2 linked regions of the Neodiprion lecontei genome follow. The protein of the gene in region 2 interacts with the protein of the main gene of each other region in a pairwise test. Links are inferred from orthologs where the notes say so. Each region holds a gene or a part of one and is shown on either strand. Other genes may lie near its edges.

Region 1 (8,010 bases), on a different chromosome or scaffold from region 2:
TGCCGTAACAGCAGGGACAGCAGACAAAGATCGCATTCCTGCTTACGCAGTGTTCGATAACCAGGTCCGTCGCCACTCCGCAGGCATGGAGAGATACACCAATGTCAAAGTGTCCCTTGTAATAGTCCAGATTACATTGATAAAATCTAACATTTGTTAACTGAAGTTTCTCCACCCTTTTCTTGGCTCTGTTTAAACTCTCCTCTTTATTTTCTAGCAAAACTACTTCGCAGTTGGGCATCAAGTAGGCTATCAATATCCCCAGATGTCCTCCGCCAGAGCAGAAGTCGACGACTACATCCCCTATTTTTGCCAATGCCATTACAGGCCTGCACAAATTTTCTAACTGCTCAAACTTACGCTTCAGTCTCGTTTCGGGCAATGCACCTCCCTCTGGCGTTGCTTCAAACGGGATTTCATCCCAGTTCAATGTCATTTCCGATCCAAACGGTTCCGATGCAAGCTCGATGCTGATGCCTAGCTCACTGATTAATGCAAATGAATCATCTATGTCAACTTGCTTTGTGTAAATGCGATTACGAGGCTTGTATCGCTTTGGATCGCTCTTATACAGGCTATGGTTTTCAACGTCGGGAAGAACATAGCTGGTAACCCGGTTCTCAAAGCTCGGAGATTCCAAGTGTCTTAAACATCTCAAACTTTCAGATATCATTTCACTCGAAAGCATCCTCGTGTACCACTTTGCTGTCAGTGGTATGAGTTCTAACAATTCACATCTCAATGCGTGGAGTGTAAAAAATGTGTGGATGCAGACAAATATTATGATATCCGCCAATGTGATTTGAGATCCCTCCGCATAAATGTGTTCTGGTATTTTATCCCTGTTACCCGTCATAGTGCCATTGATGGAAAATTTTTTCGACATTGTATACTTGTACAAATTGTGCAATCTCACTGGCTGCGACATATGACATTCAAATCTTGCGATGCTTTCAGGAATCTCATTCGTATCGCTACTTGAAGTTTGACCATGGATAGATTTCAGGGTCGAGATTAAATCCACCTCGCAAAACTTTGTCCAGATACTCGACTCCGAGCAGGCCAGCAAACATGCATCCTTAAATCCTAGTAAGGCTTTGCTGTAGTGCAATGGCGTTTCAAAACACCTACTTTTTACTATTTGACGTAGGGTCGCGCAGAGCCCAGCCACACATGTCGTCTCGTTAACTATTACGTTTGGAAGGTCGCACGTACTCGCATATCGTGGTAATTTGTCTACTTCCATAACTGTGTAAGTAAACCCGGACAGATCAATAAAATTAGACCGTTCCTCATTGCGTGTTTTTTTTGTTACAACCAAGTTAATCGATACGCGAGAATCACAGTATTTTATCGTGAACAATGTTATTATGGTCTCTATCGGGGCGAGGCACAAATCTGCAATGGAATGAACCTCCAGGAAAAGCTGGTTGGTTTCCATAGTCCTTTTTTTTTATATCGTGTACGATAGTGTCACAACTCTTGAAAGTCTGAATGCTACAGAAATGCAGTTCAAATTATACTATGTGAATTTTATATTTTTTTCAGAACCTGAGCTGGTCGGTACCGCCAATCTACACACTAGCTCTGAGTTGTCTAGCCACTTTTCTGACTATTCTTTGCCGCAAGATGTTCTCCCTCCAGTAGACGCTGATGCAAGATAAGACAGCGAGACCAAACATAAGGCCTTCAAATCTCCAGAAACTGCGCTCCTCCAGCCAAGCAACTTTATCACAACTGAAAAGAGTACAAAATGTAAAAAGATAAATGAACCAGTTCAAGTAAAATGTGGAGTTATCACAAATCATGAAAACAATCATAATAACAATCCTTACCTTCTGGTTACAGTTATACCACTCTTGCGACATTTCAACACTTCCTTGTTGCTTGTATGAATGCAGACGCCGATGCTTTCGCTCGCTATTTCGAAAGCTGTACACGGATGACACTCTAATATCACATCAAATTCTTCATTGAGATAACAGCTCGAATTCTTTTCGACAGACTCTACAAATGCCTTGCTGCTGTCCGTGTCTGTCCAATTGCTTTCAATAATCAAGACGAGTATCGTCAACCTGGAAGAAATGTTTTTTTGTAAGTACAACACATCTCTTGCAAAAGTTACAGTATGGTTATATACATGTATATATAAGCAAAAAATGGGGATCACGCTACATAGCTTTGCGCAAAAATGATGACACATTTTTATTGGTCAACAATGCGAACGATAACAATTTTGAAAATATCGTTAATCAGGGTACTGATACTGAACTAATATTAAAAGAGAAAATCCACTCTTAGGTTATTATCGCTAGTGGTTTACAGCAACTGAAAACGTGGGTATGAATTTTCAAGCTGATAAGTGTTATTGATAGAAATGAGAACAGACCCTCCTAAAAAAGTGACGGCTATGAGCATCCGCTTTTTTGTACACGACTCGATCATTGTAATATAAATTCAAAAACTGATGGATTTACATTGAAATGCGTACGTCGATCGACGAGGTGAGGTTATGACTCACGTTAACTCACCCTCCGAATTCGACGAATAATGGATAAGACAGAACCCTTCGTTACCCGCAATGCAGTGTGCCTTGATTGCATCACAGTTCGTCAGTATCCTTAAAGAATGCCGAAAATTGCAGTATTCTGCAATACCAATTTTATTCAACATTGGGATCCCACAAGACGAGTCGGTAAGTGGCAGAGTCGTAGAATTTACCCCCAAACCCGCTCAGATCCGGTAAATCATTTCGAAAAATAACGCTGAGCTACCAGTCTTCATACATCTTCATTCAGCGACGGGGATCATCTACGCTGTTTTAAAAATAACGCCATCTGCGGAGAGGCCGAGAATCTCTTTGACCGAGAACTGATCTTGAAACGAACCTGTCATTCCTGTCATTCTAGCCAAGAGCGCAAAAACTGAGCACAACGTCCTCACCAAAAAAACTGAGTGTAGACTGCGGGTGGAGGAGATACGATATTTATTGCGCAGACGGTTTTTTCGAGCGTGGGAGGGGGACAATAAATCGTATGCCTTGATGGTACGCCCATTTATTTATAAAGCCTTGAAATGTGTTCGAACGATCAACTATGAAAATACATCAAGTCAATATATATACAGTAATCATTTCAAGGGATTTCATTGACTGCCAGAATATCATAAATTTCTTTTTCTCTTCGATTAAATAGGAGAAATGAGCAACAAACTAAAGGAACAGATCTGCAATTGATTTACGAACCATTCAATCCGTGTATAGTATGTCGTATATAGGTTTTGGCAGGTGATCACTTAGTAGCGCTCTTATTCTCTCTCCACGAGACACAGGCATGTATCGCCTCAATGGGAACGTTCTCACTGTAGCGTCGGTCAAAGCTCTGGTAGTTTGAGTCAGATCCGCCTCCGGACCAAGCGTGTATCTCTCTAAGGCAATCATCTCCTTTTGGAATAATTCTTGACCATACTCACGCCGTGTTTGGGGGTCGAGCTGTGTCCACATATCTCTTGCCTGCTCCAGCAGAGAGGCATTGTCTTTCAGCCAGGCACTGCCCGACACATATTCCCCGGTCTCAACTATAACAACATCCACACCCCATCTCCGCATTTCCAAACGTAAGCAATTTCCCCATGCCTCTACCGCTGCCTGTAAGTTTTTTGCATATTTTAGGGACCTACGTGCAGTAGTACAGTTTTTTTTTCGGAGAAAATATACGGTCTATAAACAAAATCAGTTGATTTTCAGTTCCCCACGATATACTCTTGCGCAGATTACATAAAATATTTGGGAAAAATTCAAGTATTGTGCTTCAATCATATTGTCATAAAATATGTACTAAAACTATTCTCAATGAATAACGTACATGAAATAAAAAAAAGCATAGCAAGGGGTTGAGCTGCTTTAGAGACCTCGGAACACATACAGAAACTAGCGCCTTTACAGATTCACAAACCAAAATAAAAAATACTATGAATTTCCATTAGTCAGATAGCGTACAGTTTTATCCTGATTTCAAATTTGCGCTTCCTTATCAAAGTAGCCGGTGTTCAGAGTAATAATTTTAAAAACCTATTGCAATTCATTATGCACAACCGAGTTTGTCACCTCCGGTCTTCTTACCTTTACTGCACAATGTATCCCTCGCACTGGGCTTGGGATTCTTGCGAAAAGGCTTCCTACAAGTATAACGCGTCCCTTAGAGCGTCTCACTAGTGGAAGGAATACCTATTGCACGATAAAAATAATAATATGCAAGTGTCATAGTTTAGCAAACTTGTTGTACAAATGTTTTTACCTGCGTCAGTCTCGATACTCCAATGAAGTTAACTTCCACGCTACGCTTTAGCACCGAAGATGGAATCCACTCACATTCTCCTAGCGCCACCCAGGCGTCAGCATGTACCAAACCCCACAAACCTATAATTAAATTGGAATGCTTGATTTGACTTTTTCAGACTAAGTAACGTAACTCTGGCTGGTCTATTTACCTGGAGCTCCGTCGGGCAAGTGCTCATTGACGTAGAGGAAAGTTGAATGGATATCACGCTCGCTTGTTACATCCAGTTGCAGAACACGCAGTCTTCCTGAGCATTGATCTTTTAGTTTGCACGCTATCTCATTGTTCTCGTTCTTGTTTGAAAAAGTCGCAAAAACTGTGAACCCCTTGAAAGATATTTAACAATGGACATATTATTATCGAGTTATCATTGTAATGATTGTGCATATCGATATTTTGTAGGTTTTTATTTTTATATACCAAGTCGTCCAGCTGCTTCGCCAAAGCATTTCCTACCCTGGAGTCACATCCTGTTATCAATATTGCCTTTCCAGCCGCAGTTACCTATGATAATAATTTTCTTCATCACTGTATTTAGTAATACGTAGCGATGTCGCTATTATGGCCTCAATCGTTAAACTTGCGGATATTTCACTTTGAATAATTGACTTTATTTCTCTTTGTTAGGCAAGTGTGATAGTTTACCTTTAGATTGTGATAGAATAAAGTAGAGCCGAGAGATACGCTGAGAAATAGAAGAAACAGTACAAAACTAGATATCTGCGAAATACCGAAAGTGTTGAGAATCGTGGCAACGATAACTGCAACCGCGTGTGAGAATACGAATGGCAAAAGACATCGTTCTAACAACTCCCACGCCTGGCTGTCCTCGGGTGGTTTATTCAAAGTTTGTGGCATCACACCCTTATTTAATTTCAATATGGATACTTAATAATTGAACTAGTTTACTAAACGCTAGCCAGAGCTCACCTAGATGCCTGAACTGGACTAAGCCCAGGCTAACTTTAAACTTGATACGCTGTCTAGTCTCATTCGGCTAAATTTATCCCCTGCAGCGATGTAGGTACCCAAGGCCCGAGTATGCCTCAGCATGTTTTTTATATTCCTCAAAATACATGTAGATATAGGTGAATCATTTAATTCTATTAAAATTGGACTCTGCTCCAATAGTAAATGCATTGACGTAGAAATCCCATCAACTAATCAAACTTCATATTTGCTATTCACAAAAACTTATGATTATCCTCAATCTTGAAGCCAAAGTGTCCCACCTATGAAGTTCAAAATTGAAAAAATGTATAATACATCTGAAACGAAAGTGGAGAGCAAAACAGCGTTTAAAAAAGAAAAGAAAAAAGGAGATCCTCCACCATGCACTTGCAGATCTGAGGTCACTATTATTGATTTCAGTCTGGGTGCCATGTTGGTAAAGGGAGGAGTTGCCTGTCTGGTTATTCTATGTATATACAGAGAGTACTGAGTGTATAAATAGGAAGGGTGGTTACACCATTGACCCAGTGTTCAGTTGGTGCAAAGTCGGTTCAGTGGCCAACAAATGATACTTTCTTTTTTACTCTACGTCTGTACAGTAGTGATATAATCATATTGAATTGCCACACCACTGACAACCACCATAGCCAGCGAACAGCTTAAGAGATTGCATTCGGATTCCACCCTCTTTTGCCTACATTCAGTATTCATACAGTGCTCACCAAATTGCGTATTGTCATCCTATTAAAATACCCTGTTAAACAGAAGTTTGCTCAAAATTAATTGAGAAAGTTTCATTGCCTAATAGTGTCATATTATCCTTACATATATTTACAGTTTATCACTGTGATTTCACCCAAGTGATTATCGAGTAAAAAGTTGAACGTGAAAGACCCATAATTCGACTGTGTTCTAAACAATCACTTTGGTAATTTTAATATTGATATCATATCTCTGGTGATATAAATAAAACAAGGTAAGGAAAACCATTATAAGACCCAATCTATCTATCAACATTAAACACTTTGTGAAAAAACGATTGAGAGCCACTTTGAATAAGGATATATTGAAAGGATATGTTCCAAACACGTTTTTCAATGATATAATTTTATCCAAACAGCTTTCTAGATTCTTGAATTTTTCATTACAAATATATATCAAGAAATTATTATACTATACTTCCAATAAGACTAAGCAATGAAAGAAACTCTGTGTGAATTCTTATGGCTTATCAGAACATTTTATTTTCATGACATTTATACAACGCCAATCTAATTTCAGGATGTCAGACACTGCAGGGGCAGTACAAGCAACAGCTTCCCCGTATAAGATAATTGATCATGCGAGAGAAAGACGCAAGGGCATTACAGCCTCGTCACTAAAAGAACTCACTGCCATAGCTAGAAACCGATTTGACTTGCCACAAGAAGAGCACCTGACCATTGTTTTGGAACAGGATGGTAAGTATTGTTATTTTAGATTGTAAATATCGATTATCTGGTGATTGACAACCTTAATGAAGTGTGAATTGCGCAGGTACCGAGGTAGACGACGAAGAATACTTTGCTACGCTTGAGAGAAATACAAGCTTGATGGTCCTGTGTGGCCATCAAAGATGGTCAGCTGCTGGAAGCTCAGCTAGTACATCACGCTATGTTCTGCTGGATGATACGGATAGTGGAAAAGAAGGAACATCAAGAAGGAGGGAACGTGGGAATGGGGCACAGATCAAGCCGCTGGTCTCCTCACTGCGTGGAGATCCAACCCACATTTCGCTATTAGGTGGAAACGACTTGGAACTGCTAAGTGATATGGATCCGGAAAGTCTAGCAGACATTGTGCCTGACAGGTGAGGGATGGGTGAAGTTTTTGGGAAGAGAGAACATGTTGGGTGATTATGTGGGCAGTCTGTTGAGTGTTTGAAAAAAATTTCTGCAGGATATTCCTGGAGCAACTGAAGGAGGCGTCAGGAAGATTTTTAGCCGAGAAACGACAGGCGCAGGAATCAATGGCACTATTGCAGATGTATGCAAGCGGAGGAGAGATGGAGCGGGCGTAGGCCATGTGGGGGGTCGGCACCCTCACACTGGCAAACATGTACCGCATTCGAAGACGTCTCATATACAAGGGACGTCACATTCAGCAAACGATGATTTTCATCTGGAATTGAGCCGAAGTTCCATGTCAAATTACCCAATGAATATGGGGCAGAAGGAAGGGAGTAAAGTTTCTGTGATTCATACGTGTATAGATATCTGCCGACTGAATGATGGGCAATTTTTATGTCCTACGTAATGATTAATGGATGATCACAGCTTATAATACACGCTCATAATATTTGGCATACCTTCTGCATTACAGGTATCGTACGTCTTTTATCGGAGAGAATAAATAATTGCAACTTTGCACACAATCGTGTAGGTAAACATACCCTACATAGAATTGCGTTAGGAATTAATCGGCTATAGTATACTGACCCTTTGCAAAATATCCAGTAAAGTATCATTCCACCGCTGCCGAGGCTAGAGCGTAAAAATAATTTCCTTGCAAGGTAGCCACATCGATATTGGCCCAAGGATTAGGATTATATATGATTTTTATAAATGTTTATTACACATTGTATTTCTATAAGAGATAGGTTTTAGTTGATACCAAGTTTTATGAAATGTTTAAGACTGAATTTCATTATATTGAGAGGTAAGTAAAGTTTCATCCCCCATTT
Region 2 (7,800 bases):
CGGAGATGAATCCGTATCCCAATGATTCCTACATAATGTATACAGACTATTTAATAAGTACATATTTTCAACAACCGTCTTTATAGAGCTAAAGTGTTTATATCGTATTATTTTTATTTATTTTTCTTCCATATCTTTTCCTCTTTTCTTTTCATTTCGTTTCAATTATTTTATTTCGTCTCTTTTTCTCTTTCTCGTCAAGTTTTTTTTTTTTTGTTTTTTTTCCTTTTTTTTCTATCATTTTTTTTCACCTCCCCCCCGTTTTCTTTCGTCGTTATTTATTTATTATTTATTTATTTATTTTTTTTTCCCCCCCTCTTATCATGATGCGTTATTTTTTTATTTCTTTTTTTTTATTATGAAAACATTTGAAAAAAATCACGTTTTTATGTGTTTAGTACATACTATGTTAATAATAGTTAATAATAACCATTAATAATAGGTATAGGTATAATCTATCTAACTATTAAAACAGCGTCATATTAAAGTCTATCTTCCTCCTCCTCCTCCTCATCGTCGTCGTCGTCGTCGTCGTCGTTATCCTCGTTATTCTCCTCGAGCTCCTCCCTGTACCCGGGGTGTTCCGAGATGGCGTAGTAATTCCCGTTGTAAATAACACCTAGTTCCCTGAGCACGTCGCCCCTAATAACGGCCTTAATAGTCCAGTTGTAACATCCATCGTTCTCGCTCTCCCTGTCCAATCTCTCGACGTCCAGTATCTTCGAGCTTAGCCTTTCTAGTATAATACCGATATCCTTGATGCTAAGATGGTGCTTCTGATCTACCGTGAGCTGATCGATGAGAAGTAAAAATTTTTCCGAAGTCACTACCTCGTCCTCCATTATCGTATTCTCCGTTTCAGACTCGGAGCTGTCGTGATCCTGGTGCAGATGATTGTGATGGTGATGGGTATGGGAACCTCCGTGCCCGTGGAACTGACCCGACGAACTTCCGGCACGGTACTGGTGACTGGGTCCCGCCTCGCTCTCGTCGTCCCGGAACCTGACGTGCCCTTTTATCACCCCGGAACGCCTCGTGCCGTCCGAAAGCGAGGACTGCGGCTGCGGCGACGGCGTCTGATGTTGGGCGTCCTGGATAGGCGATGTCGCAACGGATTTGTGAACCGCTATACGACGACCCTCCTCGTGGAGTGCGCAGCAGTGAAAATCGCACTCGGCCGCGCTTCCTCCGTCGGCACCGTTCACGGGACTACCGTTCCTCGCTACAGGCTGATGGATGTGATTCGAACACTCTGGTGTGTGGATATGGATTGTGGTACTGTCGAACGAGTTGGTACCCTGCTTAACGAGACGGCTACCAGATGTAGAAGGCCCGCTGCTTGACGATCCCGGTAATAAGCTGGAGGCCAGCATCGGACCGTAGGAACTATGACTCGGACTAGTAAAACTCTTCTGTACCATATCGTCATGATTTATCACAGTTATTTGAGGGCTGCTGTAACGAGGACCACCACCACTACCAACACCGGCACTACCACCACTACCACCACCACCACCACCACCACCACCACCAACGCCTCCTCCTAAGTCGCCCGCTCCGTGACCTCCAGCTTTTCCGTTACCTATACCGATCCCGATCCCGTCGTGATAATTCTGCAGCTTGTCCAAGCTCGTCTGTATCACTAACGACGGTCTCTGACCACCCGAAATCAGTTCGCTCTTCTTCGTTGGAGAATATTTCGAGCTCTGACCGTCCTGTGACTTTCCCCCCTGCTGCTGTTGCTGCTGCTGTTGAACCTGCGACGATGACCGCTGATCCCAGTGGAGCACCACTGTGACACGTCCTTTATTGTCCATAATTTTCCAGGATGGCGTCTCATCGTGCAACTCCAACGCGTGGATCGTTTCGCAGACTATTTTCGGTATCGCCGAAATCGCTGCAACAAACACAACGTTCAACGTTTTTTACAATACGCCTCAACCTTATCACACAACGAATCGCACTGTTATATATCATTTCGTTGTAATAATATCAATTTTTGTTTATTTATTTTTTTTTTTTTATTTTTATTGTTTTTTTTCTATCATTTTCGACAAACAAGAAACACAAAGCGCGTAACTTTATCGCATTTAAATGTTGAAAAGGGGGTTAAAAAAAACTACGGATCGGTTCAACTTCCAGAGAGCCGGATCGTACCGTCTGAACTACTACTGCCAATCCCTTTAATCCGCTTGCTGGTCAGACGCAACTAATGTTCACAATACTGCGGTAGTCGCACCCCGTAATGGTTATATGCGAGCCCATTACGTGGCAATTCAGGCTGCACCCGACCACCCTGCCCACAATTTCGAGGAGGAAGTGATATCAATGATCGTAGCAATGGTTGTAGAAGAAGAGACGTAGGCAAAAACAACGAAAGAGAGGAAACAATATTGATGCGATGAGTAAACGAGAGAAGTTAGTGCAAGAGGAAAAGAACACACAAAATTACAGGGGTAATAGAGGGGGTGAGATACGACCGGTTAAAAAATCCTGATAACAATAAATGTTGAGCACCACTAATTACTCTGTGTAATTAATTACATAGAAATTATCAATTAAATTGGTAACTTGTAATTGTGAAAAAAAAAGACAATACCAATTAGATTTGTAATTAGAAGAAAATCCGATACCAACAATAACTATAGACGTAATTTGTAATACGAAGAAAAACTGATACCAATTACATTCATAATTTGTAATCGGAAGGAAAAACTATACTAATCACACTCGTATTTTATATTTCAAATTATTCTAATTACAAATTACAATTGTAATCGGTATTTTCTTTTTCTACTCAATCACGAATAACTAATGTAACGCAATGTAATTAGTAATTTCGACGTAATTAATTACACAAAGTAATTAATCGTGTCCTGCCGTGTACGTCGGATCGCAGAAAAAACTCTCTCACTTTTTCTATTCAATATTAATTGTTTAAATATTGTAAAACATTGGCACAGTTAAAAAAAGTGTCAAAAATTTTTAGAAACAAAAGGCATGAAAAACGGTGCCACGAGGTCTGTTTTCACGTCTAAGGGACTCTACGAGAAGTTTGAAATATGTTTGGGGTGAAATTCACCCCAAGTAACCTATTAGGGTTAACCGGTCACATTTCGCAAACGCGACTTCGGAAAGCACATGTTCTTCGGTTTAATTTACTCAGTTAATTCGACCCCTCTGTTACCCCTATAATTTTATGTACTCAGTTCTGGGACACCCTGTACACATATACAACGTGCAGAGCGTTGGAAGAATTGGAATCTGACGATTGACCTCCTTCGCAAATTGTTCCTTATAAACAAAAATTGAATTCCAATAGAGGTAATCGTGTAATACGATCTTCGGTTGTTCGTTCGTTAACATGATTCACCTGCACACCATTTTCCATAATTCCGTTTAACGCCTTGCGATTTCTATACGATGCAGGTTGTGCGATGATCGGTTGAAGAATAAAGGTAAAAGAGAAGAAGAAAGAGAAGAAGAAGAAGGAGAATAGAACAGGGATCGAAAACGATGAGTGAGGAGATGGTCAGCGATCGGAACTTCATGCAAGAGGAGTGACAAGTATAAGGCAGAGCTGGAGTGAGCCAAGGAAACGTGTCGTACCAGCCCGAATGATGTCAACGCCAGTGGGACACCACCTTTCACCATGTCGCAGGAGTAGCAGTATCGTGTTGTTCGCTAAAGTCTTGAAATATTCCCCGTCCTCGACCTGCGTACCATCCGATTCGAGCACTAAAGAGACCTTCTCATTTTGGGGAACGCCCAATTTTTCTTTACCTGAAATTAAAATATAACAACACCGTCATCACATTGCCCCAATCAATGATCTTTCAGAACCTACTGATAGTTTTTCAACGCCTTATATAAATTGTGTTACATGCAAGATCGGATTCCTTGTTATCACATCGGCATCATCGTCGTCATTCGTTCATTCGACACACTTATAGCGGGGTGGAAAGCAAAAATTACAGACTTTATTAAACACTGTATCCATCACTGTGAACCATCACTGGGATGAGACACTTGTACAAGTGAAGAATTTTTCATTTACTGTGCTTACTTTTGGTTTACGATTGACCCCGAATGAGGGGGTGTGTTTATACGGTTCACTATCGACGAAGTAACTTTGTATTTACTCACCGCGGTGTAACAGTTCTTCAAAATTGCTAACGACCAGTCCCTTTCTTACGTTTCGCCAACTGTCCCATATCTTAAAAGGTCTTTTGCTCCGTAACTCCTGCGGCACAATAGACAAGCAATTATATATAGCAGCGCACATTTGCGGAGGCAGTATAACGTTGGAATACAATATACTGCATAGGGCATCGAACGAATCGTTGGCTGGAAAAATTCACCGATCAAAGATTCGCATCTGCGGATCTTCTCGGATGACACCAACATTTATTTGATAAATAATTTGACTCTGCAGCGAAGGTTAATGAGACTGGCCACTAATGAATCAGTGATAATATACGTAATCGATCTCGATTAATTCTCAATTCAATGTAACGACACTGCACGTTCACTATTCTTAAGAATTGATTATTTCACCACTGGTATGAATAAATATGAATAATGATAACAGAGTGCAGCGGATTGGATGCAATTTGTATAAAACGAGCGGTGGTCTATAACCATGTCTTTTCAACTGGGCGTGACAGATATCCAGTAATTAGACAAAATGCTTTTAAGAGAAAAGTTGAAGAGGGGTCTGCAGGTGGTATAAAATACGATTTGAAACGTTAGTTATCCCCCTCCCTTCGCATCAATTTAGGGTACCGGGCAAAATTTGCATAGCAATGGGCTGAAGTATCTTGAATATATACATATACCTATGTGCAATTATTTTTTTTCCCTTTTTTAGGCTCAATCCTCGAGACAATCCCGTGAAAAATTACATATATTAATACCCAAATGAATAAATGCAATCGTTATAAGTATACGTGAAATTTCTGACGCGTTCTTTCTGCTTGCCGGGAGCAATTAAAAAAAAAATACTTAAGGTAAATGGAAAAGAAGTTTGAATAAATATTGAGGAGCTGGGTTGAAAAGGTTTGCGAATTATGTTTGGGTTACTTTTTAACGTTTTCAACAGGGTGGCGCTAAGCGGTAAAAGCGCACGCGCGACTTATGGTCGAAAACACTGACCTCATTCAACCATACTCATGAAAATATACATAATATGACAAATTATCAAACTGCAATGCTCGTCTAACGATATACTTATACTTGATGACACCGAATACTTATGGTATAAATATTTTATCAATAAACCACCCATTTAATCTTAAACACTCTGTTACATATAAAAATATATATATAGAAAGCTTCTCTGCACGGCAGAAAATTCATTGAATAATTGTTCACAGTAACGAAGAATTCAGACGGAAGACAAACGGGCGTTTTTTCGAATATATCATCACTCGAAAAATAATGAATGAAATGTAAGAGCTATAAGTATAATTGTAGATTTTCTCGGCTCACCTCTGCTGGCATTCGCATTAATATAGATTAAAATAACTATCGATCGATATCGGAATCTAACGTTACAATAACGCTTAAATCGTTGTGGATATAAATGGATTACTTCTGTTCGATGGTGATAAATTGTTATTAAGGGATCAAATAACGGTACGGTACGACACGATAAACGATTATACGAGACGTGAGCTATGGATGCGATAATTAAAAATTCAAAAAGTATGTACACTCGAAGTAAAATGATAACGAGGTCTCCGCGAGAGATCAAAGTAAGAATGAAGAGGACCGCGTACGTTGAACGACTGCACGGGGTCAACTCCCAGGGAAGTAGGTCACGGGTGTGTAGGGAGGAAAATAATCTCGCCACTGCAAACACGTATCAGCGTTCCACGACAAGGGTGACAAGGGGACGGGGTTTGAATCCCTGGGAGAATAAAAACGATATTACAAATAAGGGAGTTGCGAATGTTATTGAAAATCAGTAATGTCACGGGAGGATGATAAAATTGATGTATAGTGCACCCAACGAACGAATGGAAGGGGCGCGCATGCAGGGATGGTACAGGGGAAGACTCGTGTGCACAATCTTGAGATATATGAATAAAAAAGATTTTGCCATACCTCTCTTGCCATTACGTCATATCCCTGCAGGTACGGGACCGTCCCACAAGCACTTATTTAAAAGAAGTAGCGGACCGAACGCTGCAGCATTCTGATCGCGCGGTTCTCGGAGATGCCGGGTAGAGGCGGTCTAAACAACGGACCCTAACAAACGGGTCCCTTGGAAACTACATCTACCAGGAAATCCCTCATCCTACTAGGTATCTTACAATTACCCGATCTAAGATTTCACTAACGCATATGGGCCAAATTGTAACAGTGGCTTCCTCCCAGCGGTTACTGCGGCGACTCCTAGTTTTAGATCGATTCTCTCTCCGTGTACGTACGGACACCCTCACCCTCGCCCTCTGCACCCACCTTGCCCTCTTCGCCCTCGCTATATTCCTCCCACTCACTTGCCTCGCGCCCGGCGAAGGTTTCCTCTTCTTCTTCTTTCCTACTCGTATTCGCTTATATTATTCGACTCGCACTCGCCTCCCTGAATACCTGCCTACCCTTAAACAGCCTACGTCTACCCTTACCGAGTATCCTTCTCGTCTTACGCATTAAACTCGCCCGCTCGCTCCCACTCGCGCCCACCCCTGCCTGCCGCACGCCCAGTCGCGCGCTCTCTCGTATTCCGATTTTTCAACGCCTATACTCGCCCACTCGCCGGTCAACCCACGGGAAAGTTCGAACCACGATTCGAACGCCCTCGTAAGACTTCGCCAGCGACGCGCGCCGCGCCATTTAAATGCAAAATGGCGCCCAACTTGGAAAACTGAAGCGCTATCTGTGGTGTTTCCACATAGTTAGCCACTTCTGCAATCGTCAGACCCATGGTTGGAGGAGAGGACCATCTTCAGCTGTTGCTCTCTCTTTCTAATTACGGCTTCAGCTAGCTGCACAGATGGCATAGTCTGTCTGTATTATCTTGTAAGTCTATGGTGTACAAGCCCGATGGCTACAATCTACAATGAGGATGACGGACTTGAGTAAATCCAAGTAATTCTTAGTCTATGATCAGAAGTTGAATATTTCTATTTTTTTTTCATCTGTTAACCTTTTTGCAGCAACGTCTATCTCGTTCCGTTCGCGGTTAAAGGCATGTACCAGTACACGTGTTGAATAAAGAACGGTGGCAACGTTCGCCGCGTAATGTATTTCGGAAGAGGTTGCAGAGTGCCTTGAGAGTACAATTGAAGCCAGGAAACTACCCTTAAAACCAATACAAGATGAGCACTATATTGGAAAAGATCGCCTCGATCGAGGCTGAGGTAACCTATAAATGCGTTAATTTTTGAACAGCTTCGGTGTCCGCATACCCATTCAAATCACTCGACATCCTCTAATAACATGAAACCTCGATTCTCAGATGGCTCGGACCCAAAAAAACAAGGCGACGTCCGGCCACTTGGGTCTTCTTAAGGCAAAGCTAGCCAAACTTAGAAGAGAACTGATCACCCCCAAGGGAGGCGGTGGAGGCGGAGAACAGGGTTTCGAAGTAGCCAAAACCGGTGACGCTAGAATTGGGTTTGTCGGTAAATATTGAAAGCACTCTGATTAACTGCATTCGATAACATCCCGTCTTGCGTTACAACAGGATTTCCATCCGTTGGCAAATCAACCTTGCTCAGCACTCTTGCCGGTGTTTATTCCGAGGTAGCTGCATATGAATTCACTACCCTCACTACCGTCCCTGGTTGCATCAAG

What was found.
Region 1: the proteins of uncharacterized protein DDB_G0272682 (region 2) and DNA fragmentation factor subunit alpha interact in a two-hybrid assay, tested with the Drosophila melanogaster proteins (2 studies listed by BioGRID). The link is inferred for Neodiprion lecontei from reciprocal best matches to the Drosophila melanogaster genes Drep2 and Drep1.

The regions. Positions count from the first base shown.
Region 1 is NC_060264.1:25,801,468-25,809,477, forward strand, and holds the start of DNA fragmentation factor subunit alpha, read left to right. Parts: upstream 1-2,075; 5' UTR 2,076-2,094; intron 2,095-2,389; coding exon of another isoform or gene 2,390-2,445; exon of another isoform or gene 2,446-2,477; coding exon of another isoform or gene 2,478-2,479; exon of another isoform or gene 2,480-2,537; intron 2,538-2,676; exon of another isoform or gene 2,677-2,695; intron 2,696-2,807; exon of another isoform or gene 2,808-3,247; coding exon of another isoform or gene 3,248-3,646; intron 3,647-4,120; coding exon of another isoform or gene 4,121-4,225; intron 4,226-4,295; coding exon of another isoform or gene 4,296-4,417; intron 4,418-4,488; coding exon of another isoform or gene 4,489-4,663; intron 4,664-4,757; coding exon of another isoform or gene 4,758-4,841; intron 4,842-4,982; coding exon of another isoform or gene 4,983-5,195; exon of another isoform or gene 5,196-6,264; intron 6,265-6,569; 5' UTR 6,570-6,570; coding exon 6,571-6,748; intron 6,749-6,824; coding exon 6,825-7,137; intron 7,138-7,226; coding exon 7,227-7,347; 3' UTR 7,348-8,010. Other genes in the region: glutathione S-transferase C-terminal domain-containing protein homolog, read right to left, coding at 1-1,441; protein JTB, read right to left, coding at 1,575-1,737, 1,836-2,075, 2,390-2,445; D-beta-hydroxybutyrate dehydrogenase, mitochondrial, read right to left, coding at 3,248-3,646, 4,121-4,225, 4,296-4,417, 4,489-4,663, 4,758-4,841, 4,983-5,195.
Region 2 is NC_060261.1:2,386,635-2,394,434, forward strand, and holds uncharacterized protein DDB_G0272682, read right to left. Parts: upstream 6,010-7,800; 5' UTR 5,509-6,009; coding exon 5,491-5,508; intron 4,244-5,490; coding exon 4,147-4,243; intron 3,784-4,146; coding exon 3,610-3,783; intron 1,898-3,609; coding exon 483-1,897; 3' UTR 289-482; downstream 1-288. Other genes in the region: GTP-binding protein 128up, read left to right, coding at 7,323-7,364, 7,463-7,628, 7,691-7,800.